Struthio camelus: one gene and its partners. Each later gene encodes a partner of the first gene's protein in a complex. Links are inferred from orthologs where the notes say so. Each region holds a gene or a part of one and is shown in the gene's direction. Other genes may lie near its edges.

Region 1 (7,143 bases):
TGTAATGTTCATTTTAATAACTATTTCTGTGGAAGACATTTATTTTTGTTCTAGAGCATGAATCTCAGAAGAAATTTGCCTGTACAGTTCTATTAGGATGTCCTTGTTTAAAAATCTGGAAAGTAAAGCATAATGCAAATGAAATCAGTTACGTTATGAATAATGTAAGCTATCTATTATTCCTTTTATTATAAAAAGTTGCACGTGCTTCCTAAACCTATATAGATACGTTCCTATGATGTGATCCCCATTGCAATGAGGGCCTTGGAAGACAATGGAAGGAGGAGAGACCGAAGTGAATTAAGTTTAGCTGGAGTGCCAGGCCAAAAATGCATTTATATTGCCTCCAGAGTGCCACCATGTCTTCACACTGATCACCAAATACTTTGTGAAATATAACTCGTCCTTCTGCAGGTGGAGAGGCACAGAGGTCATCTTGTGCCCCTGCTCCCCTGCCCAGAGCAGACCCATGCCCAAATTACACCCTATGTTCATCCATGGGGTGGCTGGCCAGGCGGCCAGCTTGCATCCCAGGGGTGTTTGGCAACTGCCCCCTTCCCAAAAGCAACCAAACCTGTGTCTTTGAGGACAGAATTTGGCTCACAGAGTTAGCACAAGGCTATGTCTCATTATTGTTTCCTAATGAAACAGTCTCTTTGGCTGAGATCCTGCAGAGATTTATGTACTGCTTAATTCTATACACTGGGAATAATCTCCTTGAATTCAGGGGGACCACAGAAGTGCGCAAATGCAAGTCTCTACAGCACTTGTTTGTGAAAATAAATAAGCCGTGAAACAATGCAAGTGTAGTTCCAAGCAGTGAGTTAGTGTAAATATAAAATAGATGCAAATGTATTGCCAGTTACGCAACCTTCCAGTGCTAGAGGGAGGGGGAGAAGAAGCATTTTCTCCAGCTTAAAATGGAGATCAAAAATCCTTCTGCAATCTACAGATTAGAGATTGTTTCAAAACTGGTATTAGGATCTGGTTTGAAATGAATTTCACTGCGAAATAAAATTGATTATGAAAGTTTCTAGGTCTTAACTCCTTAGTGGCAAGAAGTAGAAATAATATTTTTTGCTGGAGTTTTCTATGAGGATTATTGATATAGGCTTATAATATTTTCAAAAACAGGAAAAAAAATTAATAATTGCCTGTAACTGCAAACATCAACAATATTAGTTCTTTCTATTCCTTTCCTGCTCAGCCTGGTCCAATTCTACTACCTCCGTCTGTCTTGTTTCACAGGATGAGATCTTCAGGATCTCCAGAGAAAGTGATTCTTTGAGTAACCAAGGAGCCCGAAGAAAGAGTAATGTGACATTAGAGAAAGCACACCATGGCATGGTTAGCACTTGTGTCTGCAGTATATTCTTTCCAGCCTAGGATACTTTCTCATGATGTCCTCTCCTGCTCAGGATGCACCTGTTCTGAGCACCTTATCCACTCACTTGGACAAATGAATATAACTTTAAAAAAAGTTTTAATTTTTTTTCAACTGGTAAATTATTTTTTTCCCCCCCCTATTAACTAGTTTCTCTACATTGACTGGAGTTTTGCAAGAGCAGAGACCTCAGGCTTCAGGACGTTAGCTACCCGGATCACTCAGAGCCTCCTAGGAGAAGGATCACAATAGTGGAAACAAACTGACCACAGGTCATTGTATGGCTGGGAGGCTACACAAGGGTTTTAGAAAGTATGCTAGGATTATGCTTCAGATTGGACTTAAATGCTGTCGTTTTCCAGCTATTGAGGGCAGGAGGAGAAGAGAGTTTATAAGCATGCAAGCTGGGATAAGAGAAAGGAAAAGTGAATGCCCCGTGCTCCTTTGTGATTTGGTCCCTGCTTTTTCAGTATCACTCATTCATATGCACCTTCCTTTTGAAGTCCCCTGGTTAGAGGGACTGGTAGAGGTGAAGACAGGGGAAGGGTGCTTTCCCGTGTGCTAAGAGAGGGTGCTAATCTCCGTTTTGAGAACCGAATGGCTTCTGCTGTGCTGCTCTAATCCTCCAGCTAGAATGAGCCAAACTCTCTGTTACTCAGCTGAGCAAAGCTCCCACTGAGTTATGCTTGATTAACAGCTACGGCATTTGGTTCTGCATAATTGTGATGAGAAATGCCTTAGCGTTTCTGCTCAGCCTAGCCAACATCGATCTCCACAGCTGCTGGTTCCCAGCATTTCCCAGCTACTACGTGGGGAGGGAGGGAAATCTGCACTTTGAGCAGCTGCAAAATGCTGTATTAGGCAAAGCCCTGGTAAGACTGGTAAGTGGGAATGAGAGTTAGGCAAGTGGCAAAGCACAGAGCTCTCTCTCTTCCAGCACGCTTACAGTTTCATTGTCTAGAAAGTGTTGTTGGCTACTTTTTCTTTATTTAAAAAAAAAAAAAAAGTAATTGGGTTGCTGGCTTTGCCTTTTGGGATTTGTGCAGTGCAAAGGCCATTAGTATTTAGCATTACGTAAGACCTTTTATGGGTCTGTCTTGATGGTGAGAGAAGGTCTGTTTCTCTTAATGGAGCTGACAAACCTGATTTCAAACAATTTTTAGTGTCTTGGGCAGTGAGAGTGAATTCCACAATGCAGTATGGTCTCCAAGTGGTAAAGTTATGTTCCCTGAGTTACAGGGGGATCATGAGTGTACATCATGGAGCATGGGCTGCCGAAAACTGTATTCTTTAGACAGACTGTGAGGTTTCCCCTGCTGACTATTGCCCATGACTTTCTAATTGATCCATGCAGTTTGAAAATCTGCCTGTCAGACATGGATAGCGATACTGTATTGGTGCTAGGCTATGACTATATGCAAGAGTCACTTTATGCAGAAAATAGTCTTTGGTCAATATTGCCTCTAAAAAAACCCAGAAATACTGTGCTGTACTTGTCTAACGATCACTGAATTCAAAAACCTCTATTTATCCCTTCAAAAAACACAGTCAAACTGTGTACACTGGAAAAAAGTAGATATTATATAGGGCTGTTATTAAAACACCTTAAGTGTCCTACTCGGCCTTTGAATTAAAAAAATAAGCAAAAGGCCTGCATGCTGCATAGTCTTTAACTAAAGAGGTGCAGTTAATGAATTAGGTTTGAACCTGCACTGTGATTTTTGTGAGAGGCGGATTATGAAAAGGGCGTTAAACTTAGGGAATCTATAATATTTGGCAGGGAGTTCATTAGTTTTCATTTCCATACCCTTGGCTCATTCCTTAAAAATTACATGTACGTAGAATGGACAGGAGAAATTTCCTCTTGTGAGTAATACTCTTTCAGTATCTTAACTTTTCTATATCAATATGAAATGATTATAGAAAAAAAATCAACATGAACATCATTTTGTTTCTACTGCAGAATTATTAGGTTCGGGTAATGACTTGTCTATTATGCTTGATCACCAATTCTTTGCTGTATAGGTCCCCAATGGTAATCCCCCTTAGCTTGAACAACAATGTGGCTTGAATGAGGACTTCAGGGTATAGCAATGAGGAGAAGTGGCATATGCGGGCTTGTGATTCGGAGGTGCAGATGCGCAGTCGCTGTGCTGGCAGTGAAGTGCCCTTGTCCTGTGTGCTCTCTGTGAGTCTGGTTTTGAGAAGCATAAGGCTCTTCACACTGGTTGAAATTGCTCTGGGGTCAGTCTCTTTATCCTTCTTGGGAGAGGGAACCTGGATCCTGCTGTCCTCACTATTGACCATAATATAGTTCCATTCCTTTGGTTTAAAGACCATAATTCTCGTTGTTTACTTGTTCAGCTTCTTTCCGGTCTGCAAGGGTGTAATGACAGGTAAAGGTATATGGCTGGTATGTCTAAAAGGCTGGATGCTAATTTTTGGGACAGTAATAGGTATAAGTAGATGAATTTCTACTGAGGGGTGCAAATTTATTTGATTTTTCTGTGTCGAATGGGGATATCACTAAGGAAGTAATTGTCTTAATGTTTTGCTTTCTTTTTATGAACGAATAACTGACATTTTGTCCTAATTCTTTCTCTGAATTCTGGGAGTTATATGCCATCTGAAGAGTGATTCCTCTACCCCCTACCCTTGGAAACACAAGTAACTCCTTTTCATTTTTTGAAATTAGTCTTCCCAAATATCCAGGTGTTGTGTCTGAAGAGCCAAGAAGAGCAGATGTGGGGAAAAAGAAACTGGAGAGCAACAGAAAATATCATAAAATAGATATCTGCCACTCAAAACCATACGTTTCTCATATCTACTTTTGTCTGCTTGGTATGTAGCCTACACCAGTTTAGATTATAGTTCCTGATACTCTGAGTGGGTGGAAACAAGTTGGGGTACGCTTTAGGATGGTCTGATCTCATCTATTTTTCCTTTATATACCTCTCATATACATACTTCTCTGAATTTGGTCTCATCTGTGAGGCCTTGAAATGTTAATGTAATGTATGTAATGTAAGAATTCAGTACAGAAGCTGCTGCCACATCTCAGAAGTTGTGTGGCTCTGCTTTGCCTGCTCTATAATTTCCAGTGCCGCTTTTGCTTGCATAGGATAAAAAGAAAGTGAGGGACAAGTAAATTACGGCAGTACAGTCTATGGTACTTTGTAGCTTTTATGAGGCTCCTATGCCTGACTGCAGAGAGTTTCTTTACTCTGCTGCATTTCATTTTACAGTGTCCACTCTGTATTCCAATTTCTAGCAAAATTTTAAGGAGTATTATTTTGTTGCTGATGTTGTTCATGAATTACAGTTTTAATGGATAGGGAGCTTATATGGAGAAAAGGGCTCCTAATGTGTGTGTATATGTTACTGTCATCCTTTCTTTTTGTTTTAGGTGCTTTTCTATAGGAAATCTACTCTTGCATTTCTGACAGTGCAGCTGTACTAACTGAAATGACTGATTACATGCTTTTTGAAGGACATGTATGAATCTGCAAATATATTTACATTTCCTAATTAATGTTTTAAAGATTTTTAACTTGAGATTGAAATGACTCTAAACTTCAACGAGGTTAATGCTAATATGTGTTGGATCTAATCTTTGATACCCAGGACACCCTGGGAAACTAATGATCGCTGCAGGGGTTCAATATCTGTACCTATGTAATTCCTCTTTTTAGCTTTTTAGAATGGGGGGAGGGGGAAATGTGTGTGTGTGTGTGTGTGTGTGTGTGTGTGTGTATGTGTGAGGGGGAATTAAAGATATATTTTTATAGATAGTTAGCAAGAGCCATGGGCATTATGGGAGCCCTAAATATGGGAGAATATAACTGAACTTGGCTGAAGAATAGGCCATCTTTAGTCTCCTGCACAGCACCAAATGTTACTCCAAATGAATCCTCACTGAGGTTCATGGAAGACTAAAGCTTATTGTCTGAGCAGCATTTCAGTTCTAACTTTTGCACAAGGCCCCTCCCTTTAAGCAAGAGACCTCCTGTTTCTAAGCTGTAATTGTCCCTTCCAAATATTTGGCCAAATCAAATACTGGTGCAGATCAACATACCTTCATTGCCTTTAGCAGGCTAATGCTCCTTCACCTCTCAAGCCTTATAGTTGACCGTTTGCCAAAGGCAACCTTGTCATAAATTAATATGAAAAATATACTTGATTTTTAGTAACAGTTTGTTTAATTTTTTTTTCTTTTAGCAGAATCTAAATCTTTTAGCAGCATCTTCAACTGTGTCACACAATTTAAAACTAAACAAGTCTTTTTTTAATACTAAATTATATTAAATCATCTTGAGCTCTGGGTTGAGAGACATATTACGCTGGTACACTAGAGCAGAGAGTAAGACACAGAGGAATGTAGGCTGTTTCCAAAAATTAAAAGAAATACAAATGACTTTACCTGATTTACCCTGCTGGAACATGTGGCTTGGCTTGGCTTTGCTTACAGAAAAAAAACAAAGAAACAAACCCCCCAAACAGAGTACATGAAGATATAACAACAACTCAGTAGGAGGCATAATACAGATTTGCTTCATGTAGAAATCCCTTTGATTTGTTTTTCTTTCATGTGTAGCACTATTATTTATAACTCTAGCATTTATTTGCATGTCTCTAACTGTAGTGTTTACTCCCAGGAATTGTTTTTTGATGGCTGATTGCCCCAAATCGAGGATGGCTAGATAACCTTGCCTTCAGCTAAAATAGCTTGGTGGTTTTTTCAGCAGCGGAAATACAAGTATTGATAGAATACGAAAGTCAAATTTTTTTTTCTTTACCCAGTAACCTGTATACAGAATAAAATGAAATCTGACCTTCTAGAAAAACTTATAACGTAATATTAAGGACCTTTTCCAGAAATCTGATTCTTAGGTTGAAATATAAACTGAAAATGCCTTTGATTCTACTTGTTTTCCCCTACTTGCAATGTATTCAGAAACCTAGTAAAATAACATTTTCTTGGAGGATAATGACCTAATGAAAAAGCATGGCTTCCATTTTAACTCATGGAAATTTAACTCAGAATAAACTTTAATAGACTTTTCTAAACATGTTGATAACTAAGACTAGACACCGGCCAGAGATGTGACTACTATTATCATCTTGACTTACATTCCTTAATCACTCCCTGAGATATCCTATATGTACACTAAGCATGTATTCTAAGCCAAATCTCCCTATTAAAAACATTCATAAAGCCTCTGGATGCCATGAAATCCAAATAGAGGTTGCTCGTTGGACCCTTCCATTATTTCCTCAGTTATAGTTGCTTTCATTGCAGATGTGTTGAATTATTGCATCAATACAGTTACTACTATATTCTACAGTTACTGCTATACATAAAAAAGGTAATGCTGATGCCTTGAAAAATGCATCTATCTGTTCACCTTGTTCTTGTGCTATCCAAGTACCTCATGTGTGTAGAAAACAAGTAGTGCCATAGGCAATAAAAGTTAAAGTCTGACTTCCTATAGATTTTGCTTAATACATAGGTTTCCTTGTATGTAATAAATTAACATGGCAACTTCTCCTCAGTAGAGCGATTATCTTTCCTCTACCCTACCATCTATAGATGTACACAACTTTATCTGACAAAATATTTTTTATAACTGTTACCATTTTGTTAAAATTTGATTGAAATTACCCAGGAAATTCAGAAGTTTTGCAAGATAGTCAAATGAATTGGGGCACGTATGCAGGCAGTTGTATCAACTGACTTCCTTTGGAAGACTGACTGATAA
Region 2 (7,663 bases), on another chromosome or scaffold:
AAAATGAAAGTGAAATAATCCTGTATTAATTAAACAGAGCAACTGAATTCCCTCAGTCATCTTATCCTTGGCTGTCTGAGACAGTAATGCACTTCAGCTCCTCTGAAGAAACTTGCACTAAAAAAAGAGCTTGGGGTGTAACAGTGAGCTATCAGTATTGAAGTACATGCCCGAATTATCTTTAGGGAGTAAGACCTTTTTTTGGAGGGTGACAGGCAGTGTCTGTGCAACTTGCTTTTTTTTTTTTTTTCCTCTCTCTCCCCTTTCTTTGTCCCCCCCCCCCCCTTTTTTTTTCTTCACTTTTTGGGTTTTGTCAAAGGCTTTGGAAAAGACATTTTGTCAAGAGAATAATTTTCATTTACAGCAATGTGAACAGTTTCTGTACTGTACCAGTGAAGGCAATCTTTTAAATATCAATGCCCATGCCCTTGAAAATAAAATGAGCAGAAAATATGGAGTATTTTTTTGAGACTGGATGAACTGAATGTAGCTTGGAAACATGGTAAGGTGATTGAGTTACTTCACGGATGCTTTTTTTTAATATGCTGTAACTGGGTGTAAGAAGCAAAATCTAAAAGCGTTACTTTGTGCATTTGTGAATGCGCTGTGGAAAAGTTCTAAAGAGCGCTCTGAGATGGTGCTGTGTGAGCTTGTTTCCCTAAGATCAGAATAAGGAGTAATTAATGCTAAATACAGATTGAAGTAGCAGATGGTTTTAAAGTAATAACCTGCTATAGTTTGCCCAACTGCGTACAAACAGGTGAGCAGAATTTGGAACTTTTATAGCATTAGGTTTTTTTTTTTAAGGCATTAGCAGTGTATCCAGGGATGCCCCAATTACCTTCGAGTAAGGAGCACAAAAGCCAAGCGCGTCTTAACACAAGCAGACAGTGACAGTGTTGTTCTAACGTTGATGTTACTTGATGTTACTGCAGCACAGCACGTTTGAGTTGTGTTTCTTTACTCAGTGGTTTTGAAAAAAAGAGAAAATCACTTATTTGATGATACTTGGAAATTTCTTTCAAACTGTTAAAATATGATATTCCACAGCTAAATTTTGAAAAAGGTAGCAAGGTATATAGAAAATTTCCATCTAAAGTAACAGTATACTTATTTTCAAATAAATTCTCAGCAGGTAATAGAATTATTTATATTTTTGCGCCTACATAGATGACTTTAGTTTGTTGCTCTTTTTGGTAAATACATGCTTGACACAATATACTGTGCTGCTTCTGCAAAGTGCCACTGAATCTTACTTCTTCAGTTGCCTTGAGGTGGTTGTGTTTTAAGAATCTGGCTGTTTGGATGCCTCAAAATGTCTATAGAATTTAAGTGTGAAGGCGCTTAAAGATGTACTGTTCTGTACACAGGAATAATCATATGCACAGCAAGACATGGAGATATAGATGCTGCTCAGTAATGCCCATTGACTAGTGCAGACACTCATGGCAGTTTTCCCCCTTCCCCTCTCTGATTCCATTACCACTGTTTTGTATAGACTCCTTGTGGTAAGATTTTGCATTGTAGATTTTGATAAGATGTGTGTTTGCATGCGTGTTCTTCTTCTGTAGCTTCCGATAAAATTCAGTAAACTGACGTCTGCTTTTTTTTTTTCCAACTACTGTTTTTATTTCTTTCTAAAGCGGTACAGAGAATCTTGAGACAATGAAGTTACGCGTAGCCCCAGTTTATTTGCTGCAGTATTCTTTTTATCTCCCCCCACCAACTGATTGGTAACTGTGAAACCCAAGTTCAAGAACGTAGTTGGAATTGCAGGCCCCAGTCTGGTGGAGGTGACACTTTCAGTCCTAGGGGAAGAAGCCAACTGCTTTGTTTATCAACATGTAAAGTATAGCACTGTATTTCTGGTTGTCCAAGGAGCAGCACTGGCAGAGAAGCCAGCTGCCTGCTTGGATGAAAGATGGTTGATAGAAAGGTAGTGATGGTTAATAGGGTGAGAGGAAAAATGGATTTGGAGGTGTAGAGGGAGAGTGGGGGGAGAAGCCAACGAGGTAGTGGAAAGTGTGTGAACGTGAAAAGGAGAGCATACTGGAAGACATACCGTGACAGAAGGAAAGAGGTTATCATGTTTCAGCACCTAATATAAATACACAATCTTGGAAGATAATGAACAAAAGTAAAAATAAGCTAACCCATGCTTTGTGTTTTTTAAAATGGATTAATAAGTCATATTTTAATGAGGGTGTATTCCAGTGAACTTAATACTTTAAAGTGACTTTTATCAAATTACTTGTGTATAGGGATTGATGGCAGGTGATTTTAAATAAGAAAGTACATACACATGAAAAGATTTGAAGAAATTTTAGCATACAAATACTGAAAAATAGCAACTTTGAATATAAATCTATAAATGGACACACACACAGACACTCAGTACAAACAATATATTTGTATTTTGCATGGTTTGCTAATGTGCACATGTAAACCGATTTGTAGGATCTGTGCTTTGGGTTTATACAATAATAAAGAAATCTATAGATAAAATAAACACATCATATTCAAGTGCTGATTTGGTTCCAAAATCTGCATTTATCAAACTGCTTCTTAAAGAGGATGTTCTAGTATTGTAACATGATTAAATGCTTCTCATTTTAAAATTTGATTAAAAAAAAACCCACCCTTTTTTGTCTGTGATGTTTCTTCAGTGCTTGGATTTTACTCTACATTTCAGAGCTCTTTAATTCACTGCTCAAAAGCGAATTTACATCTTAATTACAGAGTTCACATTTAACAATATAGACAGCATAATGCTACTGTAATTAAGCTTTTACTACCTGCTTTTATACAGTAGTCAGAGACGTAGTTTTGCTGTGTGAGTTCTGATCGCTAAAAACTTGCACGTATATTTACTGCATTTGTAAGAAGCAGGCCCAGTCTTTACATCAGGTTAAGTACATAACACTGGAATCTCTCTGCCGTAAACAGATACAAACATGTCCAGTGCACTAACATATTTTGCACTTGGGTTCTGTTGTTTTATTTATTTGGTAAAAAACTGTGAGATGGATTTGGAGAAGGCATTTGTGTTCCCATTTGTGAGTGGTATTAATGCAGTCTGAGGGTGTGCACTGATTTGTTTTGATCTAAAAGATTGCCATTTGCATCATGTAGGGCTCCAGTCACAAAAGATTTTGTGAGCAGTTGAGCTGAATTATGAAAAATCATGGGCTTTCTGCTGTGTTTTTTTTTGTTTTTATTGCCAGAAACAGCCTGTATCTATTTCCTGGGAGAGGCAGGAATAAAAACACTTTGTAACTAGCAAATAGTAGTGTTTTAGTTGTAATATTAAGTAAAAATAGTAGTTTTTGAGAGAAAAATATTGTGCTCTCAATTAAATACTGATCCTTTTAAAATGTGTGTGGGGGCAGAGTTCAGTGAGAACAGCGTCTCTGATTTTGTTGTATGATCGTTTTCTCAAAACAAGTCTAATCAGAGACCTTTCATTATGACAGGGCCAAGCAACTGTGAGTTACAAAAGCTAGTGGTTTGCTGGAATCGTGGCTGGTGATGTGTTTGCAGGCATGTGTTTACTTCCCTTTCAGTTTGGTGAAATTTACTTTACAGAAAACAACCCCCCCGCCCCCCAAAACATAGTAGAGGTCTGTGTGCATTCTGAGGTTTAACAATGCAGACCCTCTACAATGCGGTCCTTATCTTGTTAAAATGAAACAGACTGAGTTAGTCCACTATAATCCCTCCACACTTGCAGAAGAAATTGATCAGTTCTGGAGCTTTTCCTGCTGTCTACTAGATCTAAATATTTACATCCAAACACCTAAATATTTGTATATGGGGATACATGTTAAATACGGCCATGTTAACACGTATCTAACCTGGATAGGAAGGCACATTCCTGCATACACTCCCAGTCGCACCCATGCTGTTAGGAAACGCGGCTGAGTGCCAGTTTTGTTTTGTATGTACATTTTTCTTGTAGGTACAAAATCAGATTTTCACTATATGTGTGTGTGTGTGTGTGTGTATGTGTATGTGTGTATATATATATATGTATATAAAAAATATAAAAAATCCCAGCAACACCTCCCTCTCCCCCCCTTCCTTCCCCCCACAAGCCGTAACTCGGGTGGCAATGAGAAGTTGAGTTAGCAGGCGCTTCGGCACACTACGTTTGATGGCAGGTGCCGAGCGACTCCGGAGGTTAGGAGAAGCGGGGTGAGGAGCGCCTGTCCAAAGCAAAGCCCTGCCGCACCGAGAGCCCGAGCCCCCAACCGCCACAGCGCGACGCACCAACAGATAACGGCAGCACAAACTTCGTTCTCTACCTTAGGCGGATTTCTTCCCCGCATTAAGTGAGAGGCTGCGTGTTATTTCTTCCTGGCAAGGTACCTGGCCAAGTGTGCTTTAAGTTCGAGCCGGCCTCCCGCGCCGCGGCAGGGGAGGCCGGCGCCGCCGTGGCCCCTCGCGGGCCGGCCGCGCGCTGACACGTCTGCGGGCTCGGCCCCAACGGCCGCCGCCGCCTCAGGCCGCTCCCCTGTCCCCACCCTCTACCTGCCGCGCGGGCCGCGCGCCGTGCCGCCCCGGCGCCCCTGGCGCCTGATTGGCCGCCGCCCCACCAATCGGCCGCCCCGCCGGGCCGGGGGGACTGCATATGTAAAGCCCTGCTTCATATTCATGAGCGCCGAGCGGGGCTTTAAGTCCTTGATTAGGCGCGCGGGCGAGCTTTTGGTCCCCACTGGCCGTGCCCGCCGGCTTGTCACCCGGAGCGCACCTGCGTGGCGCGGCGCGGCGCTCGGCCACGGAAACTTTGGCTTGCGGCGGGGGCGCGCGAAGAATGGTCGCCGGGCGCACATGGATTCGGTAGAACTTTGCCTGCCGGAGCCGCTCTCCCTGCACTACGAGGAAGAGTAGGTACCGCTCCCCGCCCCCCACCCCGCCGGCCGCCGCCTGCCCCCCCCCCGCCCCCCTCCCCCGCACACGGCAAACGCGTAAAACGCCGCTGCAGGTAACGCCGGGCCGTCTCGGTGCGCGCGAGCCGTCGCCTGCGCCGGCCCGGGGCAGCTGCGCGGCGGCTCCGCGCCGGGCGGGCGGGCGGGCAGGCAGGCAGGCAGGAGGCGCCCGCCTGCCCGCCCGCCCGCCCGCCCGCGGGGTGCTCCCTCCGGGCGGGGAGGAGCGGTGCTGCCCGCCTGCCCCGCGCCCGGACAGGTGTGCGGGCTCCCCGGCTGCCTGGCGGCGGCGAGGGGAGGGACCCCGCGCGCGCCCCCGGCGCCTCCCCCCCCCCCCAACGGCGGCGGGGTGACGGTTGGTGGGGAGCGGCCCGCCGCCGCGCGGCCCTGAGGTACCGGCCGCTCCGCCGGGGCAGCAGCCCCGCAGGAAAATCGGAGAAGGGTGCGGGGTGTTTTGGTACTTCTGTAGGGGACTGGTGGCGTGCGGCCGCTCCGTGCCCTTCGGCGGCGGCCTCTGCCCTGCCGACGACGGCGAAATACTTTTTGAACGAGCCGCAGTTGCTCGCCGGCACTTGCTAGCCGCCCCGTGGTGCGTGCGGATGGATGCGCCTACGTGGGGTGTCTCGGATGGGAATCGCGGAGCCCAAACAAAATCAGGCGGTCTGGGGCTGGTGAGTGGCTCGTAAACTTGATTTCAGCCTGCAGCCAGGATTAAATATTAGTATATCATGGGAGCTGTCACCGATTCATTTTTCTTTATGTCGAGCCACTTAGGTAGCTGTGCCTTCGTGTTGCACTAGCAGCGCCGGTGATACCGAAGAAAAAACAAGCTAATAGCAAGCATCGCCCGAGACGCAGTGTGTGGAAAGGCTGTGTTGAGAGGTGACACTGTATTATAGGTAGATGCCCACTAGCTGTCCTTAGCGTCTGTGTATTGCATTGCTATTTGTAATTAAGACAGAGATGAAAAGTGAATTGCAGTGATTATGTACTGGTGAAATAATACAGGAAGTAAGACAAACAGTAACAAATAGACTTGCTCATAGGAGCAAGCAGTCTGGGAACAGGAGGCAGCAAAATCCACTGTAATGTTCTGGGATAAATAAAATAAACAAAAGGTAAGATGCCCACTCTGGTGTGGTTTATAGGTCAGTGCACTGTGCGCTGCCTTATGGCGTAAGATAGCTTCATAAATTTAAGAACGCAGTTTCCACAGCTTTTACTGGTATCAGAAGTTTTCTTTATAAAATACACAAAGAGTAAGTTTTATTTTCTGGTTGTTCTCCCCCCACCCCCAAGCTTTCTTGAATTTACCTTCTTACAGCTAATTTGAATGATTAGTTTAGATAAGCCTCTTAGAGTAGATGCATTTCAATGAAATCGGGGCACATGTCTTTTTGGCTCTGGTGCAAGATTCAAACTAGTTTTTTTCCTCTTCTTTGGCTCAATTAAAAGTCATCTTAAAACAATCCCGGTATATTGCCCCAACTCAGGGTTTCAGGAATACGTGGTTGCATGGACACACATACACAAAAAACTAATGCTCAGAAACGTCTGCTTCTCTGTTTCTGTTTCAATTAGTAAGCCTCAGAGTTTTTACATGTTATTAATATTCATAGTAATTCTCTCTTGACTATATGTTGTTGCTTGTGTGTCCACATACAAGTGTAAGGGCACACAAAATAAATAGTAGACGCTTTCTGCAGTTCTCACGTTGTAGATGAAGGCAGAGAGGATCTAAGCTAAAAATTGTCGGAACATTTTGGGAGTGCACAGACATCTGTCTGACCATCACTAGGTATGCTTTGATTTTAAGGCAGAGCATGTTAAAGAATGCAATAACTTAAAGCCAGCTGCAGCATTGACTTTTTGCTTTTTCAGTAATAACACTGATAATTACTAATAGTTAATAAACTAACACCAACAGATGCAATAAATATGTCTGCTCAATTTGACATATGTGTCAATTTAATCATTCTAAATGAATCAGTGTGCTCATAACATGAAATCTCCTTCAACCTCTGATTAAAATGTAACGTTGACTAAAGGATTATAGAGCGGACTTAATTTTACTGACTGTTTTAACAGTTGTCACAGCTGTTGGAAGAAGGAAAGGCAATTGAAACACTCCAAAAAGGGGGGGGGAAGGGGAGGACTAGTTTAGTAAATTTAAATATGATCTCTGAATGCCAAACATAGAAAACTGGGTAGATTTGTAACTCCAGATCGCTTCGGTGCACTGTGTACATTTGCCCTTTGTAGCTCCCTGTGTTTCATTAATTTGAACCCTCAGCAGTTTCTCTACTTTATCCATTCAAAAACGTTCAACAGAGTTTAAGCATAAAAGAAATTTAGCTGTTATAGCATGCATGGATTTTTATTTTGTAGCGGAAGAGATAAAATACACAAATGACAAAAACTAAAGAGTGTGTAGAACGGATGTAACGTTTTAAAAAGTGGACGTCGTCCAGAGTCACTGTAAATAATCCAGTGCGATGATGGTCAGTGTACGTATCTTGTATTTTTCTAACGCTTCTCATGTTGCAATATGAGAATGGTCTGTGGAGTTATTGTGCGAGTCTGTGTGGGATATGCATGCATGTGGATGAGCATGAGGATCATATGCATACTCACGCATATCAGGACATACACAAATATGTGGGGGGTGAATATATGTTAAATATAAAATATTTTATGTCAGTTCCATTCTTCTATGAAATATTTTGGCATAACTTCTA
Region 3 (7,374 bases), on another chromosome or scaffold:
AATCCCTGAATGCAACTAGGAGACTTTGAGGTGGAAAAGCATTAACAGCATTTTAGTGCTAGGTATGTAATTGCTTTCCTAGATTTGTTTATGAACTGCTCTGATAGCTAATACCACCCGTTTTGGGAGATCATCAGATGCTTCCTCCTCCCTCTCCTCTGCTTGAAACAGAGGGGCATGAAGCACTTGTGATAAAATCCATAATAATTGTTTCTTATTATTTAGACCTCATTCACCCAGTCTTGCTGTATTTTGACATTTCTGAGATGGAGATATAATGTGGGGAAGGTTTAAAATTTCACAGTGAAAAACAAGTAGATAAAAAATATTTAAGCTGCTTTCATCTTAGAAACATATAACTTTTTGGTTCTCAAATTCCAGACTCACCAATTTCAAACGTTTTCCCCTCAGAAAAAGTTTGCAATACTAGAGAAAAAAAAAAAGAGAGAATTTAAAACTAGTATTTATGTTATGACTTAATCTTTACATTCGTACAACCCAAAATTCTTAAATAGAATAAGCATGTTGTTTTTTCATGTTCATCTTGATTCAATAACATACATGAAAATTACTAGGGAACTTTAAAGCGAACCACATCTTTTCATCTGAAAATTGTTCACTGATCTTGCTGTTCCTTAGAAACATTTAACCTTACCATAAAGGTCTTATAAAACTGGAAGTCTCAGTGGACAGGAGGCACAGCAGTGGTTTTCATCGTACCAGGAAAACATCAGTATATCGTAAAGTTTATAGATAATTTGAAGAAATAAAATTTTATCAGGGTAAACTTAGTGCTGCAAATGTTTAACTGTTTGCTCAAGCTATTTAAGTTGGAGGCAAATGATTGCCTTCATGCTAAGATGAGAAAAGGAAAAAGTGGCCAGTGAAAATGTGTGTTGATTGCCACGAGTGAGTAATGGCAGGTCCACTGAGATGAGACATGGTGGAAGCTGCAACAAGAACTGGGAAAAGATCTGTGGACATTTCATTGGTGTGCCCGTAGGGTAACATATTCATGATGTTTGTGCCAAAAATACATTCCATTTTATAGAAGCAAATGAATTGATTTTCATGTTATCTATATACCTCTTGAGATTTTACCTTCATGGTTTTTGGGGGAGTTTTTTTTTTTTTAATCTTCGATATTTCTGCCAGAGTTGCTTGCTTTATGGTATTTTCAAATGGTAGTTAAATTTCTAAAATAGTAACAAAGATTGTAAGAAAGAATCTCATGCATTATGGAAGAGAGTAAAGACGGATAGAAAAAGTGTAATGTAAATTTGTTACAAGTGACAAGCCCAAATGGAAGAGTCCTCTAAGAATCAATGGAGTATGTCAGCTTTTATTTAAACTTCAAAATACCTGTGTGGGCTGCCCTGAAATGTCCCAGTCACAAGATTCAAACCTGGACGAAAACAAACTTTGTATAGCAAAGAGCTTCCTATTTTGACTATGAAACTCGTGAAGCAATTATTTTTCTAAATGAGAGAATGTAGCATGTCTAAATACATTTGTGAGGACATTCTGCACAGCTTGCTTTTGCTTTTAAATAGCAGCTTTATTTTAAAGAAAAGCAATGAATCTTTCTAGAAGAAAAAAAGGGGGAAAAGCCCAACCTATCTCAGTTGATATTTTGTTCATGTGTTTGGAAAGGTTCAGAAACGGAGGGTGGGAATCCTCCACTGGCAGGCTTACTTAGTCTGGCAGTGAAATTTACTGTTCCTCTGGCTGAGTGCTTTGAATGAGAGTAATGAAGGCTAAAGGAGACAACATGATATTTTTATATTTAATTTACCTAATTCAAGATGTAGCCAGAATCCTTTGGCAAATGAGCTGAAGGTAGTTATTTGGCTAACAACGTTGTCCAATTTATTTAAAATTAACGTTGGTTGCAAGCAAACAATTGTAATACTAAAAAAGTCCACTCCCGAAATCATTTTTCGTTAGACTAGATGCCTTATTTTTAATTTTCTCCCTTGACTTTACATAGAGAACTGAGTTTGTCGATGTGTGCTTCTTCCCTTGGGCCTTATCTTCGATTTGAAATTGGTAAAGGTTTTGAAAGTTATTCTCTGAAAGGTTCTTTATTTTTGTCGTTTGTCGATTTGTTGGACGGTCTTGTCGTTTTGAGAGACTGAAGGTGCGTTTGTATTCAGGAGCGTTGCTGTAGCCAGCTGCTGCTCGTTGAGTTCCCTCTGCCTAGGGGAGCGTACAGGTAGCCGTGGCACAAGCAGCCCATTCGGCCAAAATGACATATGAAAACAGCTTGCCTGTGGTTTAATTCCTTGTTTTGGAAGAGCTTCTTATGGCCTAACACGGACATAGGCCTAACAACGTTTGTCCCAGATCCTGGGTCCTGACTAAAAGCCATCTTAAGTCTAGGAAGACCTAGCTTTTTCATGTTGATATGCAGATAGCCGTGAGGATAGTTAAGTCTCCTAGTTTCAGATATATTGAGAGCCTCTCTTGATGTTGTTACTGAGTAGCCTGTTTTACGTTATTCGTGTACTTCTGTAATTGAAACTGTGTGAGAACCACCACACTGATTGTACAGAGGCTACCAAAGAGCTGTCAGTAGCTCTATCGTATCCTAAACGGAAACGGAGTAACATTTTTTTGGGCTAAAAAAATCCATACTAGGGTCAATTGAAAGAATTCTATTTTGTGATCTATTTATTCAGCTGAAGAAGAAACTGGAAAACATGTAAAACTTTGGCATTTGTCTTTTATTTTGTATAAAAGTACAAAAATGAACTATTTTTCATTTTAGATAGCATTTTACTTTGAAGGATATATAAACTTAATTTTTAACAAGTTAAATAAAAATCAGGGTAGAAAACGGATGACCTTTTAATTTAAGGTCAATTTAAACATTTTTTTTGATAAAAATTACTTTTTCCAGCTTATTTTTCAGCAGGGCCGAAGAGACCATAGCTCCTCTAAAGCTGCCTTCATATTTCTGTAAGGCACACAAAAATCCAAACTAACAACAACCCAAACTTTTTTATTTTTGGCTATTATAACCGTCAGTTCTGTGAGTTCAGTAGTTCTGTGCTCTTCCCTCATTCGTGTCCAGACTCAGGAAAAAACAGATCTTTTCCTTCTTACTATACCTTTTTGCCGTCAACACACTGGAATTTATATATTCACTATGTGATACTCCTCTTCCAAGGACTTTTTCAGCACAATACCTGAAGTTTCATACTCATCCTTTCAGCGTGTATAAAAGCATGTATCATTCTGGACTTACCACTGTAGAAGAAGAGGCGGCTGCTGAATCTTATATATGTAATAACTTGAATAGTTTTATCCTAGACTGTCAGGAAGTCTTTCAGATTGTTGGTACATGCAGAATTTGCTGTTCAGATCCTCTCCTCTGTCTCTCAAAACGTTTCTTAACAACCTTTGAGAGTTTTGTAACAAGATCTGATTGCATATAGTAGGCAGCATCGGCTGTGTGTGAAAGTGGAGCAAAAATAACCTAATAATCATTCGGATAATGAAGACAAGTTGCATCACTCTGGCACCACAGTAGAGAAAATAAATATGATCATCTCCAAGCCAAATGAAAGGGTTACTGTTCCTCATACTTAATGCTCTTTGCGCCAGGAATGGTATTGTATTGTGGACTGTTAAGTTCTCAAGGAGTTAAAGGAGATGGAAGAGTATATATTTTCAGTAATGCTGGCCACGCTAGTTGACCTTTGCACACAGTAGGTGGCTTTCTCTTTTTATTTCAAATAAAAATATTTTACTAGCTACCATGCTTAAATAAATCAAATGAAGCTTCAAATTATGTAAAAGCTGAATAATTACATTAAATTAAATTGAAGCTTTCACTTCTGCCTTTCTGACATAATTCAGTTTTAATGCTCATCTAAGCCCTAATGTCTCTGCTGTGAACTTGGGTTGCTTGAAGAAACGGATGGTTAATGTAATTTTTTGGTACCTGTTCAATGAAGGCAATTTTTATAGTTCTAAGCTAGCTAGAATACAAAGTTATGCAACCTGTGGAAAGAAGAGGGAAAGCAGAAGCTGTGCAGGCACCGCTCCTTACCGCTGCAATCGGATACCCCAGAGAGCTTACCACGCGCTGCTGGGAGCGTTTCCTTTGGTGGCTGGGCTATAGTGGAGGAGGAAAAGGCAGATATTTTCTGTCTTAGTTTCCTACCTTTCTGGAGGTACTGCGTTGGAAGTCACTGTGAGTTAATGACAAAGTGCACTACCGTTTAGCATCATGACTCTTAAAAGCTTAAGTGTGGCAGTGGTATAGTAGATTTGTGTGAATGCTTCACTGGGGGTACTGTCAGTTTGGGTATGCCATTCACAGATGTCAGATATGTAGGTATTTCTTTTTAATCATCTTTATTTCCAGATACTTAGGAAAAGTGCAGATTGATCACAAAGAATATTATGGAGTCATGTTCTAAATTCATGCAAAAATGCAAATATATGTTTTAGCCTTAACTCTGCCCTCCTGTATTTGCATGATACAGTTTCTGAAAAGTAACATTTTAATTACATGTTCCTGTACAAGGTAACTTGTTGCTTCCCTTTTCAGCTATGATTTGGAACAATGAACTTTTATCTGACACGCTTTTGCTTGGTTAGTGCAAATTTCCGTGGCGATTTTGAGTGAAAATGAGCTTCCCAAGTGCGGTTAGACTCCCTAATACTATAAGATCTTGCCAGTGAGCCAAATATCTTAGAATGGTTCTTTCAGGTAGGGTATTTCAAAGGGGCTACTGACAGAATCCAGGGGGCAATGATGGATCTGTATGAAGGAATATGAACAATGATCATGTAGATAATTGTAATAACATTTTTTTCTTAGCGAGCAGCTATTTTTTCTCCTTGCTTTGAAACTGCTTGCAACCTACTATTACTTCTAGAGAAAAACGGTTTTTGCACAAAAAGTATGAATTATCAATCTGATATAAAGGATGGACTATTTGAATCATATGACAAACACTGCGTTTTAGGGAACAGCTATTCAGTAAAAATCCAATTAAGGATAAGGTACAGAAACAAGATTTAATTAAAAAACAACCACCCACATTTTGGAGTGGGAGTGATCCAAGACGTTTGGAAATGGTGTCTCACTTGCTGATCTTCACTAAAAGAGCTTCCATGTTCCTGAGATTAAAAATGTATCTTTGGATCAGATTTTTCTCTTCCATGTTTCCCTTCAGCTCTGCAGAGAGTATGGGCAGGCGGAATTGCTCCTCTAATTCAATTAGCTTACCTTACCTTTGTGGGAGGAAGAGGTTGTCTGCAAGGGTATGGAATGAGAGAAAGGTGTTCATCTTGCTAACGGCAAATATTCAGTAATTGTTTTTAACTAACTGCAGGAAAACAGCTGCAAAAGAAAACGGATTGAGAAAGACAGATATCTCTGGGCCTTTTGCCTTAATTCACTCACAAAAGGTATCGAGTTCCTAAGAACTGGCCTGCGCTATTGCTTACCCTTTGCATCAGGGGATGTGATTGTGCACATAGTGCTGTATAGGTAAGTGCAAGCTTCAGTTTCTTTCAGAAACAGAAAATTCAGTAAGGAATGGACCCAAATGGCAGGAGAGGGAAGTGGGAACAGTGGCTTAACAAACAGTGTTAAGTGCTCATAGTTCAGAGTTCCACCACAGTCGTCTCATTTCTCCTGTATTATCTTGTGTTTTGTTTTCATCTAGAATGGGATAAATTTCTGCTAAAATAACAGTTAATTTAATTACTGCCAATTTTCAGATTCAGTAATTAGTTCAGCTTCTATACATGTAGTATACAGCTTTGCTGGAGCTTAGTGGGGCGCATAACTTACGGAAGCCACATCTTGTCCTACTGCAAAATTTAATTAGCCAAACCATTAGGGTTTTGTCAATCATTAAAAGATATGCCACAGCATATGGCTACAAAGAATAGGTACATATAATTTAAGTTCTTCTTTTAAGATTTGTCTGTAAAGATGAGTACATCTGAATTTCACCAGGTGACTCCAGAGGAACTGACTCATCTGAAGAGCCAGTGGATGTCCCACTACTTGCATGAGTCTGAAATTTGCTCTTTGGAATGTCCGTTGCTTTCCGTCAGCCTGTGACATCTTGCTCTCTCTTCTCTTCCTGCAAAGCCATCAAAACCACAGCCAGGGGAGCGTGTCCATTGGAGGCAAATGTGCCTTAGCCTTGGCAACTTGTTGCACAAGAGGAGGAGTTGGTAGTGGGAAGGATCCGGGGCAACGTCATAAGGGAACACCTAAGACAGGAGATGCCACCAGCATCAAAATATCTCGCTGGTTCCTCTGCCATGTTATCCAGACTTTGCCCTCCTGTTTGTTCAGCTCTGCAGCAACATGATCTCCACAGCTGCTAGACTGGAGCTAATAAAACTTTCTAGGAAGGTTTAACATTCCCCTTTGACACGTACTTACTGTGGCCAGAGCGGACTGTCGTCCACTGAGTCCACGGAAGGGAATATGGGCTAACGATGTACTTCCTGGGTGGGGAGGGTACTTTGGCGCATCCTTTTCAAGTGAGGTACTTCACTGGTTGTATTAGTATGTAGTAGAAGACCGTTATTCTCTACCTCTCAAATTCAAAACGTGCTCCCATATTAATGGGCCATAAACACTAAGGCAAAACGGTGCTGTTCTATGTTATCTGATGAACTATGATTTTCTTCCTTAGTGTGTGCTCTGTGCACCTTGTACTTGTCCCACACAGCAGCGTGCTTGCTGTGGTGTGTGATGGCTGCATGCCGTATAGCATTTCTGCCACTTTCTCTGTCATTGTGTCAGTGCTCTGAAAAAGCATCCGCATAATTTTATACCTTGCCTGCTGCGGAATCGTGCAAAAAGATTTGTGTTGCTTCAGGGTTCATAGATTTTTTTTTTTTCTTGCTCTGTGGAAATATTTCCAATTATCATATATGAAAGGATACATTTTTATTTAAAAAGATTAAACTGTTTTTTGTATCTACATGGAATCAAAAAAATGAACACAAAATATTTGGCAATATGTTTCCCTTTGTGTTCTGTATTATTTCTGATAGGATGATTTCTGGCACACTGTTCAAGGTAACATCTGCAGCAATTTCTAGAGCACTTTTTAATCTAACCAAACATTTGTCCTCAACTTCCTCAGCATACCTATCGTTGCTGCTAATGGCATCTCACCAGTTTAAACAAGCTAAGTGAACAAAGTTAATGAGCCATTTTGGTATGGGTTGGAAGCGAGAAATAAAAGACCAAAGAACGAGGAAGACCTTTTCTGTGCCCAGGAAATGTGCTGGAGAGGCCAAAATGGTACTTTAGCGTCCTATCCAAAGCAAGGGAAACAAAACAAAACGGGGAAAAAAGGGCCTCAGCAGAGCAGATTCCTAGAG
Region 4 (7,372 bases), on another chromosome or scaffold:
GGAGTTTTCACTGGAATCAATGAATTGCCTGTGTGAGAAAGACGGCAAATACATGAAAGCTAATTAGGAATACAGGTTTAGATCTCCCGATATGGTTATATACAAAGTCCATTTATGAGCAGAAAACACTGATATAAACACTACTGACTTCAGGCTCACGGCGTTTCAGTTATACAAGTGTTATTTGCATTTTATATATGAGGAAAATGAGACACAGCTAATGACTTAGCCCAGTGACCCACAGGAAGTCAGTGACACAACCAGGAATAGAACTTAGACCTCTCAGCAGCTAGTCCCATGCTTTAACCACAAGACTAGCCACCCCCTTCCCATCTTATATTAGCACAACTCTAAATCTTAATTGCATCACCTACTAATTTAAGATGTCTACATGTATACAATTTTGTAGAAAACTGAATTTCTAAGGCTGAATAAGTTACATTCATAAATATTTCTTAATTTAATCACCCAACAAATTAGGATAAAATGGTTTTAAATGAGAATCAACATAAAAGTATCAGAAATTTCTGGATGCTTTAAAGTGACTTCTTGAGAAATGAATATCTTATATATTAACAAATCTGATGGATAACAGTATATGCTTGAGCCCTTCATTCCTTTATGTCTTTTTGTCTTCATTCTGTGTACGTGAGATGCAGTCTGGACCTATCTGATCGGAACGGGACTAGACTATGAAGATAACGGCCTATCACAGAAGAACCAGACAGCTCTAGAAAGTTATCCTCTTCAAGAGGAAAAGAAATCAGAGAAGCCAAGAGTTGGGGAAAGACCAAAGATAAAGAATAAACCATTATAATTAGAGTTAGGCAGGCTGCTGTGATCTTGGCTTTATAGAATTTAAAGCAGTCATGAATTTGGATTCTGAGTTCTTTTTATCTAAGACTCATAGTTCAAGAAAAGTAGGATCACTTTTAACTAAAAAGGTTCCTGTTTTGATCCGCTCTAAAGTTATCTATGACAAACCTGCATTACGCCTAGTCCTATCACCTTTGCTGGATACAAGGCACAGCATGCAAGATGAAACATAACAATACTGTAGTGCAAACTGCAAAGAGAGCCCGGAATCGTACCAAGGGATAGTCCCCTACTATCACTTAAAGAATGCGTCTTACACTATAGACTTTGCCACATATATCTATATAAAACGCCACTGATGGCAATTTAAACCTCTCATTTCCTTCAAATAAAAGTGTATGTATGGGCAACATGAAAATTGGAGTGAGGCAGAATATTATGAAATCCCTTTTACAAACATATCTCCCCAACAATCAAAAAACTGCCAACAGACTGACATGCTAATAAAAAGTTCTTGCTACTAATAAACGAACAGCAGATATTAATTCAGAAATTACATAACCCAAGAGAAAGTAGACACTGTAACTGTAAAAAAGGCAGCAGCACAAGTTTCTTAGCATACTTAAACTCCTTTGCCTCAAAACAATGCAATTTCCACAACTAGAACTGTTCTTTTAACTGCTAGACTTATAGTTACACTGCTAGCATATGAGATTGCCCTCCAGATGTTAAAAAGTTTGGCTAGATGATTTTTCATTTTTTGCAGAATACAGAGATGGGATACACTGCGTGATTTGTGATTTCAAACTTCTGTAATGCACCTAGAGACTTAAAGCATAGCCACAATGGAAGCATCAAAATAATTAAGTAAAAGTTGTAACTAGTATATTTGCAGAGAGAGGAAGAGGTATAAATCTCTCATTTCTGTGTCCTTACAAGATTTCTATCCTTTTCAAGCCAATCGTAGAAATCACAGTATCATAAGATCTCTTTATTACAGTCATTGTTCTAACCTAAAATCAAGCCATAAACCCTACCTGGCGTAGCTTAGAACCTGTTGCACAACAGTTCTTTCATTGAAATAGAAAAGTAAAATAAAAATGTATATATAAGAGAGGCAATTAGAGCCAGACTAACACCCTTATCCATTCTGAGCCTCCACAAAGAACTCTTACTCATTTCAGTGGGACTACTCTTGCCATATGATTCACTTTAATCTGCTTAAGATTTTCTTAATGATTAAAAAGAATTCATACTCAGCACAGAATTAAGATTTCCCTTTCAGAAGCATCAAACTCTTGAAAAGAGACTTACCACAAAAACTGAAAGAATGATTAATAATAATATAAAATGCAGTTCTCTTACATGAAAAGAAATCTAAAGCTTCTATATGCACTACAAAAACAAAGTATAACTGATCTCTTTGTAAAGACAAGTTATCCTCTAATTTTAAAAGTAGAACTGATGCTGAGAGCCCTTTCCTGCTTCTCTTTGAACTTAGGGGAGCATTGCCCATGGTTCAGAAAGGCCTGAGCCTAATGTTTCGTTCTTATTTAAGAATGTTTAAATAGCCCACTAAAACTTAGGAATTCACTGAGGTAGTAGAGGAGAAAGACCCCGCAACCCAAAACTGTGCAGTCACATGATACAAACAAAAGGTGTACAAGAAATTGATGAAGTAATTTATCATGACCATTTCATTAATGTAAAAAGAAATTCTAGAATTAATTATAGAATATATTTGTAGCCTACTTGATTTATGTTTTAATATAAAATGATTGGCTTTCCACGTGCTGCAAGTGAAAAACACTTGATAAAGCAAGGCAGATTAATTCAAATTATAAATAAGGCCTATTTTTAAGGGAGAGCGCAAGTACCAAAGAAAGTTCATGGATTCTTCATCTCTTGATTCTTCAAACCAAGATTAGCTGCCTTTCTAACTGATACATTTAATAGTATTAACCAAATACTATGTGAAAATCTATGTTCTGCGTTAGGCAGGAAATCAGACTAAGTAATTTCTTTTCCCTTCTTGCCCCAATCTGTTAAAATACATATTTACAAAACCTAAATAATTTGAACATAATAATCTAAAATATTTCACAAGTTCTGTCCAAGGGATGAACTTGTTAAAATAATATAATGTATATAACAGAAACAAAATTATATAATGTTTGTAATACTTTTCCTGAAAGCTCTGTTTGGGCGGCTTCTCTGAAAAGTCAGATGTGTCCCTTATTTCACCTATGCCATTTAATTAGAAATCTAAAGTTTGCTTTGTTTTTCTGCTTTGCTTATGAACTTTTATTAAAAGTTTAAACTCAAAGCTATGAGTATATACAGCCACAATCAGATGTGCAATAATGCCTCCCAATTTCTGGAGCGCTCCCAGTTTCCTGGAGCACGTTAAAGTCTAGAGTTTCAGAAGGGTTCTTCTATCCTTCAGACACTTAAATGAAATGGCGAGATCCTCCAGTGTTCTTTGTCCGGCTGTTTGCTATGAGAGCAGCGTTTTTTTCTGTTTGCAACAGAGCTAATTCTGAACTCTCCGTGGAGATATCCAGCTAAGATCCTTCTTATTTTAATATTCTACTGAAACTTTACATGAGATACTGCTGTAAAATGGCTAGAAATATTATTAATTTCTATATTTCAACCTCTTTTATTGCTATATTATTTTTACCTACATTTGCCTATTTATTCACCCATGGCATCTTGAGCCAATTCTAAGGTTTTGTTTTACTTGTTTTCAGTACCTGGCCCCCAATACAGAATCAGGGGATTACTGAATAGGTATTACCGCAGTATTTTAAAAAGAAAGTCCAAAAGAAAAACAAAAACCTTACAAACAAAAGATTTCCACATTTCTACAGCAAAAAGTTCAGATGGAGAGAAAAGCGTAAATGAAAAAAGTTCCTTGATATGTCAAGGCAGAAGTTAACACCCACCTCAAGCCTATACAAATAGATAATTCTCATTAAAAATTAACACAAGGCTTCAAGCCTCTACAGACAGAAAGACTATTCTCATAAACAAAAAGCTGTAGGCCATGTTAGTATCTATATGTAGACCAGATATTTTGAGGCATTCAACCCTAATCTATAAATTGCCTTCAGTGTACAAATAATATAGCAAATGTAGACTCCCTTTCAAAATGCCTGATGACTAAGAACCGTAATGAGGCAAACTTAGGATCCTCTGAATCCTCTAACGATGTCCAAGAGATCAAGGGTTTTTAAAGATAAACTGTTGTATCCTGGGGCATCTTGACTTACAGGACGACTCTCTAAACGCTGCTGATCTTGTGACTTTTTTTTTTTTCCACATCTAACTTCTTTTTAAAAGAGTCTGAGGGTGAAACAGGAGGAGGTGACATACTTGTTTGAACTTGCTCTCTCTCGAGACCTACTGAGAAGAGCCTGTACCACATCTCTCTGCATTCCTCCGTGGGGGGGGGGGGGGGGATGACAACCTGTAGCCAAAAAAAAGTGTGTGGGGGGGGGAAGGAATTTCATTTACCTCTGTTACTGCTAAGCCTGTTTTCAGAAAAGCCTGTATTCCTGTCAGTGGGACACAGACTGACGCGAGGAGACAGGACCAACGGCACGCAGCGCAGAGAGGAGTTAGCTGGAGGAGAATGGAAACGCAAAAGAGAAAGCAGTTAGCAGCCGGAAAAACTGAATTTTCAGTTACACAGCGGAGGAGATTAGAGAGAGCAGAGATCAAATTCCAGATCCACTGCAGGGGCCGCGGTCTGCCCTCAGGTACGCACTTGTGATCCCGCTGAGCGGGCACGAGCCCGCAGGGCACCGGCTCCAGTGCATGGACGCGGGCTAAAGGCGAGAGGAAGGAGAGGCGGCGGCAGCACCTCCTCCTCCTCCTCCTCCTCAGCGACCCGCTCCCTCTGCGCGTCCTCGCCTTCCCCCGTCCCTCAGCGCCGCGCCGCCCCTCCCCCCGCCAGACCCCGCCAACGGTCGCGGCGCGAGCGCCAGCGCCAGCGCCAGCCCCGCGCAGCACAGCCCCGCGCAGCGCGGCGCCCCGAGCGCGCGACGGCGGGCGGCGGCTCGCCCCTCGGCCCGGGCCGCGTGGGCCGGCGGGGTAGGCGGCGCCCCGCCGGGGGGGAGGCGGCGCCTGGTCGGTAGGACGGGCCGAGCGGGGGAGTTTATCCCACTGGAAGGGAACAGTTTCTCCCGCTGAGACTTGACAGCGCCAGGTCGGTGCGGGCTGCGGCGGACCTTCCCGCTGAGGTGAGGGGCGGCGGGGCCGGGCCGGGCCGGGCGGGGCGGCGGGGTGCGCGGCGTCCCGGCGGGCAGCCGGGGCGGGGGCCGTGCCCCGGCGCGGGCGATGCGGCCGGCCGGCCGGCGGGCTCTCGCCGAGGCGGAGGGGGCGAAGCGGCGGGTTGGCGGCGCGGCGGGGACCCTCGCTGGGGCGGCAGGTGGGCAGCGCCCGCCGGGCACCTCCGCGGGGCGGGCGGCCGCCCTCTCCCCCCCCCCCCGCCTCCCCGCCCGCCGAGGCGGCAGCCGGGCCGGCACCGTGTCCATGGTGCTGTATAGGCGGCGGGGCTGGGGCTGGGGCTGGGGCTGGGGCTGGCTGGGGGGGCAGCGGCGGTCGTTTGGTGGCGTGAGGAGCGTGCGGAGCGGCCAGAGGGGCGACGCCTGCCCCGCGGAGCTGGCGGCAGCCGTGCCCGTTGGCCGCCGGGGATGGAGCGGTGCTCACCTGCCTGCTGCCCTCATGAATGAAGAGACTTCTTCTTCTTCTTCCTTTCCCCCCCACCCCGCCCCGCCCCGCCCCGATTTCTCAACCGCAGAAAATCGGGGAGCCTTTCTGAGCCCGCAGCAGCCGAGATGTGGTGTTGAAATGTGTTAGGTCTTGACGGCGCGCCTCGGGTTTGCGGGAGCGTTTGGTAATCTTCCTGGTGTCATTTCTCTCCAGGGTGTTCTACAACTCAGAGCGCAAGTTCCTGCCGTGTTGTAACTCTGTGGCACTGTGTACACACGACAATACAATGCTGAGTTAACAGTGATGTATTTATTAATAATGTAGTGACGTAAGACCAACATTGAGCCTGATGAAAAGCTCAGGAAAGTGTCAGTTTCTCCATGTGCGGTGGACTCTAAATTTAGGTTCCCTTAAATCAGAAGGATCAATCATAACTGTCCTTGAAATAATTGAGGGTCTGGGCTGGCGTTGTCTTTGCGACCTACTGCCCCATCTCTAAAAGAGCTTTTGCCATGGAACATGGCTGTGACGGTCCATTTAATAGTGAGTATCCAAAAATAAAAAATATTCTTCTGGTAGCAATTAGTCCACAATTTAATCAGTAATTTAACTTTTAAAAGGTTACTATGATTTGTTACTAGTTAACTAAAAATTCCCTGTGTACACCAAGTAACTATGTATGACATAAGGTGTTCAGTGCTGTCCTTTGTAAACACGTTTCGTGTGTTGTGCGCTCATTGATATCAGAATTTGCTGTGTGAAGTGGTGTTTGGCATTCTTATTCTCCCTGGCTGTCACTAAAAGTCACTGCAAACATTGCTTAGAGATTTAATTATCAGATTATAAAAAATCACTCATAGCAGTGTGTTAAGGCTTGTGGTACAACATAGACATAGACTTGTCAAGGGGAGAGAGAGTAGGAAAAATAGTTGACATGAATTTTTACATGGTAACCAGTCAGAATATATTTTAAAGGTATTTCTACGCAGGCAGCTTTTGAATTTGAATATTCTGGGGCATCAGTTTTGTAAAATACCTCATTAACTGTTAGGGATTCACAGATCATATCTCTGTAAACTGCCTTAAGATAGTATGCGCTTCTTAGCGGTGCCTCATTGTCAAATTACTGGATATTACAATTTATTAAATGTCAATGTTCAATGAAACGTCGTTACAGTATGGTCAGTGCATAAAGAATTCTCCTCCTCTGATATAAGTTTATATTTCGTATTATAAAAATCACAAAAAATGAAAGTGGCAAAACGTTAGAATTAAGTTATGGCTTTTAATTTTCCTTATGAGACTGATAAAAACACCCACTATGAACATTTCTTCTAAATCTTACTCTTTTCCATCAAGTTTTGGAAATAGCCATACATTTCTAAATCAATAAATAACTGAAGCTAGGCCTCAGTTTATATGTCGATATAAATGTTTACTTTTAGCAATGGCTAATAAAGTGAATTTTACAAAAAGTTATATTGTAAAAACAGGAAAAAGAATAAAAGTAGAAAGAAAACTATTATGTACAAGGCTGGACTAAAATTCATAATGAAAAGTGTACTTAATGATATTTTCATCTTGATTTCTGAGGCCGCCTCCTAATTTTGACCCTTAATCTGTTCAAAATTGCATTGACTATATTTACCAGTCTCTTTTTTTTTTCCCTAGTCCAATTGCGAATCATTAGTTGTGAGTATTTGATACTCAGAATCTGAGTTTCTTTTACTAGTTTTTGTCGCAAGGTTTATTCCTATATTCTGTTCTGGCATACATTAAAACAGTTTGCAGCACAGCTACTCAAGAGAAATTAAAATACAATTATAAATTCTCCGTG

Evidence for each region.
Region 2: the proteins of NRIP1 (region 1) and ESRRG are in contact, whole or in part, in a crystal structure (PDB 2GPP), measured with the Homo sapiens proteins. The link is inferred for Struthio camelus from reciprocal best matches to the Homo sapiens genes NRIP1 and ESRRG. Residues at the interface, in NP_001426204.1 of Homo sapiens: Ser378, Leu379, Leu380, Leu381, Leu383, Leu384, Lys385, Ser386, Gln387; in NP_001429.2 of Homo sapiens: Val277, Ile280, Lys284, Phe289, Leu294, Gln297, Met298, Leu301, Gln302, Lys448, Leu449, Glu452, Met453.
Region 3: the proteins of NRIP1 (region 1) and RORA are in contact, whole or in part, in a crystal structure (PDB 4S15), measured with the Homo sapiens proteins. The link is inferred for Struthio camelus from reciprocal best matches to the Homo sapiens genes NRIP1 and RORA. Residues at the interface, in NP_001426204.1 of Homo sapiens: Thr499, Leu500, Leu501, Gln502, Leu504, Leu505, His507; in NP_599023.1 of Homo sapiens: Gln332, Val335, Lys339, Phe344, Met345, Gln349, Gln352, Ile353, Leu356, Pro505, Leu506, Glu509, Leu510.
Region 4: the proteins of NRIP1 (region 1) and PPARG are in contact, whole or in part, in a crystal structure (PDB 9CWN), measured with the Homo sapiens proteins. The link is inferred for Struthio camelus from reciprocal best matches to the Homo sapiens genes NRIP1 and PPARG. Residues at the interface, in NP_001426204.1 of Homo sapiens: Ser130, Thr131, Leu132, Leu133, Ala134, Leu136, Leu137, Ser139; in NP_056953.2 of Homo sapiens: Val321, Gln322, Thr325, Lys329, Phe334, Leu339, Gln342, Val343, Leu346, Lys347, Pro495, Leu496, Glu499, Ile500, Lys502.

Annotation. Positions count from the first base shown.
Region 1 is NC_090942.1:112,855,377-112,862,519, reverse strand, and holds the start of NRIP1 (nuclear receptor-interacting protein 1), read left to right. Parts: upstream 1-4,124; 5' UTR 4,125-4,225; intron 4,226-7,143. UniProt on the Homo sapiens protein: Modulates transcriptional activation by steroid receptors such as NR3C1, NR3C2 and ESR1. Also modulates transcriptional repression by nuclear hormone receptors.
Region 2 is NC_090944.1:116,100,298-116,107,960, reverse strand, and holds the start of ESRRG (estrogen-related receptor gamma), read left to right. Parts: upstream 1-4,653; coding exon 4,654-4,886; intron 4,887-5,263; exon of another isoform or gene 5,264-5,528; coding exon of another isoform or gene 5,529-5,596; intron 5,597-7,663. UniProt on the Homo sapiens protein: Orphan receptor that acts as a transcription activator in the absence of bound ligand. Binds specifically to an estrogen response element and activates reporter genes controlled by estrogen response elements.
Region 3 is NC_090953.1:20,321,108-20,328,481, reverse strand, and holds the start of RORA (nuclear receptor ROR-alpha), read left to right. Parts: upstream 1-4,363; 5' UTR 4,364-5,509; intron 5,510-7,374. UniProt on the Homo sapiens protein: Nuclear receptor that binds DNA as a monomer to ROR response elements (RORE) containing a single core motif half-site 5'-AGGTCA-3' preceded by a short A-T-rich sequence.
Region 4 is NC_090955.1:20,125,114-20,132,485, reverse strand, and holds the start of PPARG (peroxisome proliferator-activated receptor gamma), read left to right. Parts: upstream 1-4,366; 5' UTR 4,367-4,453; coding exon 4,454-4,580; intron 4,581-4,588; exon of another isoform or gene 4,589-4,755; intron 4,756-4,917; exon of another isoform or gene 4,918-5,063; intron 5,064-5,748; exon of another isoform or gene 5,749-6,047; coding exon of another isoform or gene 6,048-6,078; intron 6,079-7,372. UniProt on the Homo sapiens protein: Nuclear receptor that binds peroxisome proliferators such as hypolipidemic drugs and fatty acids.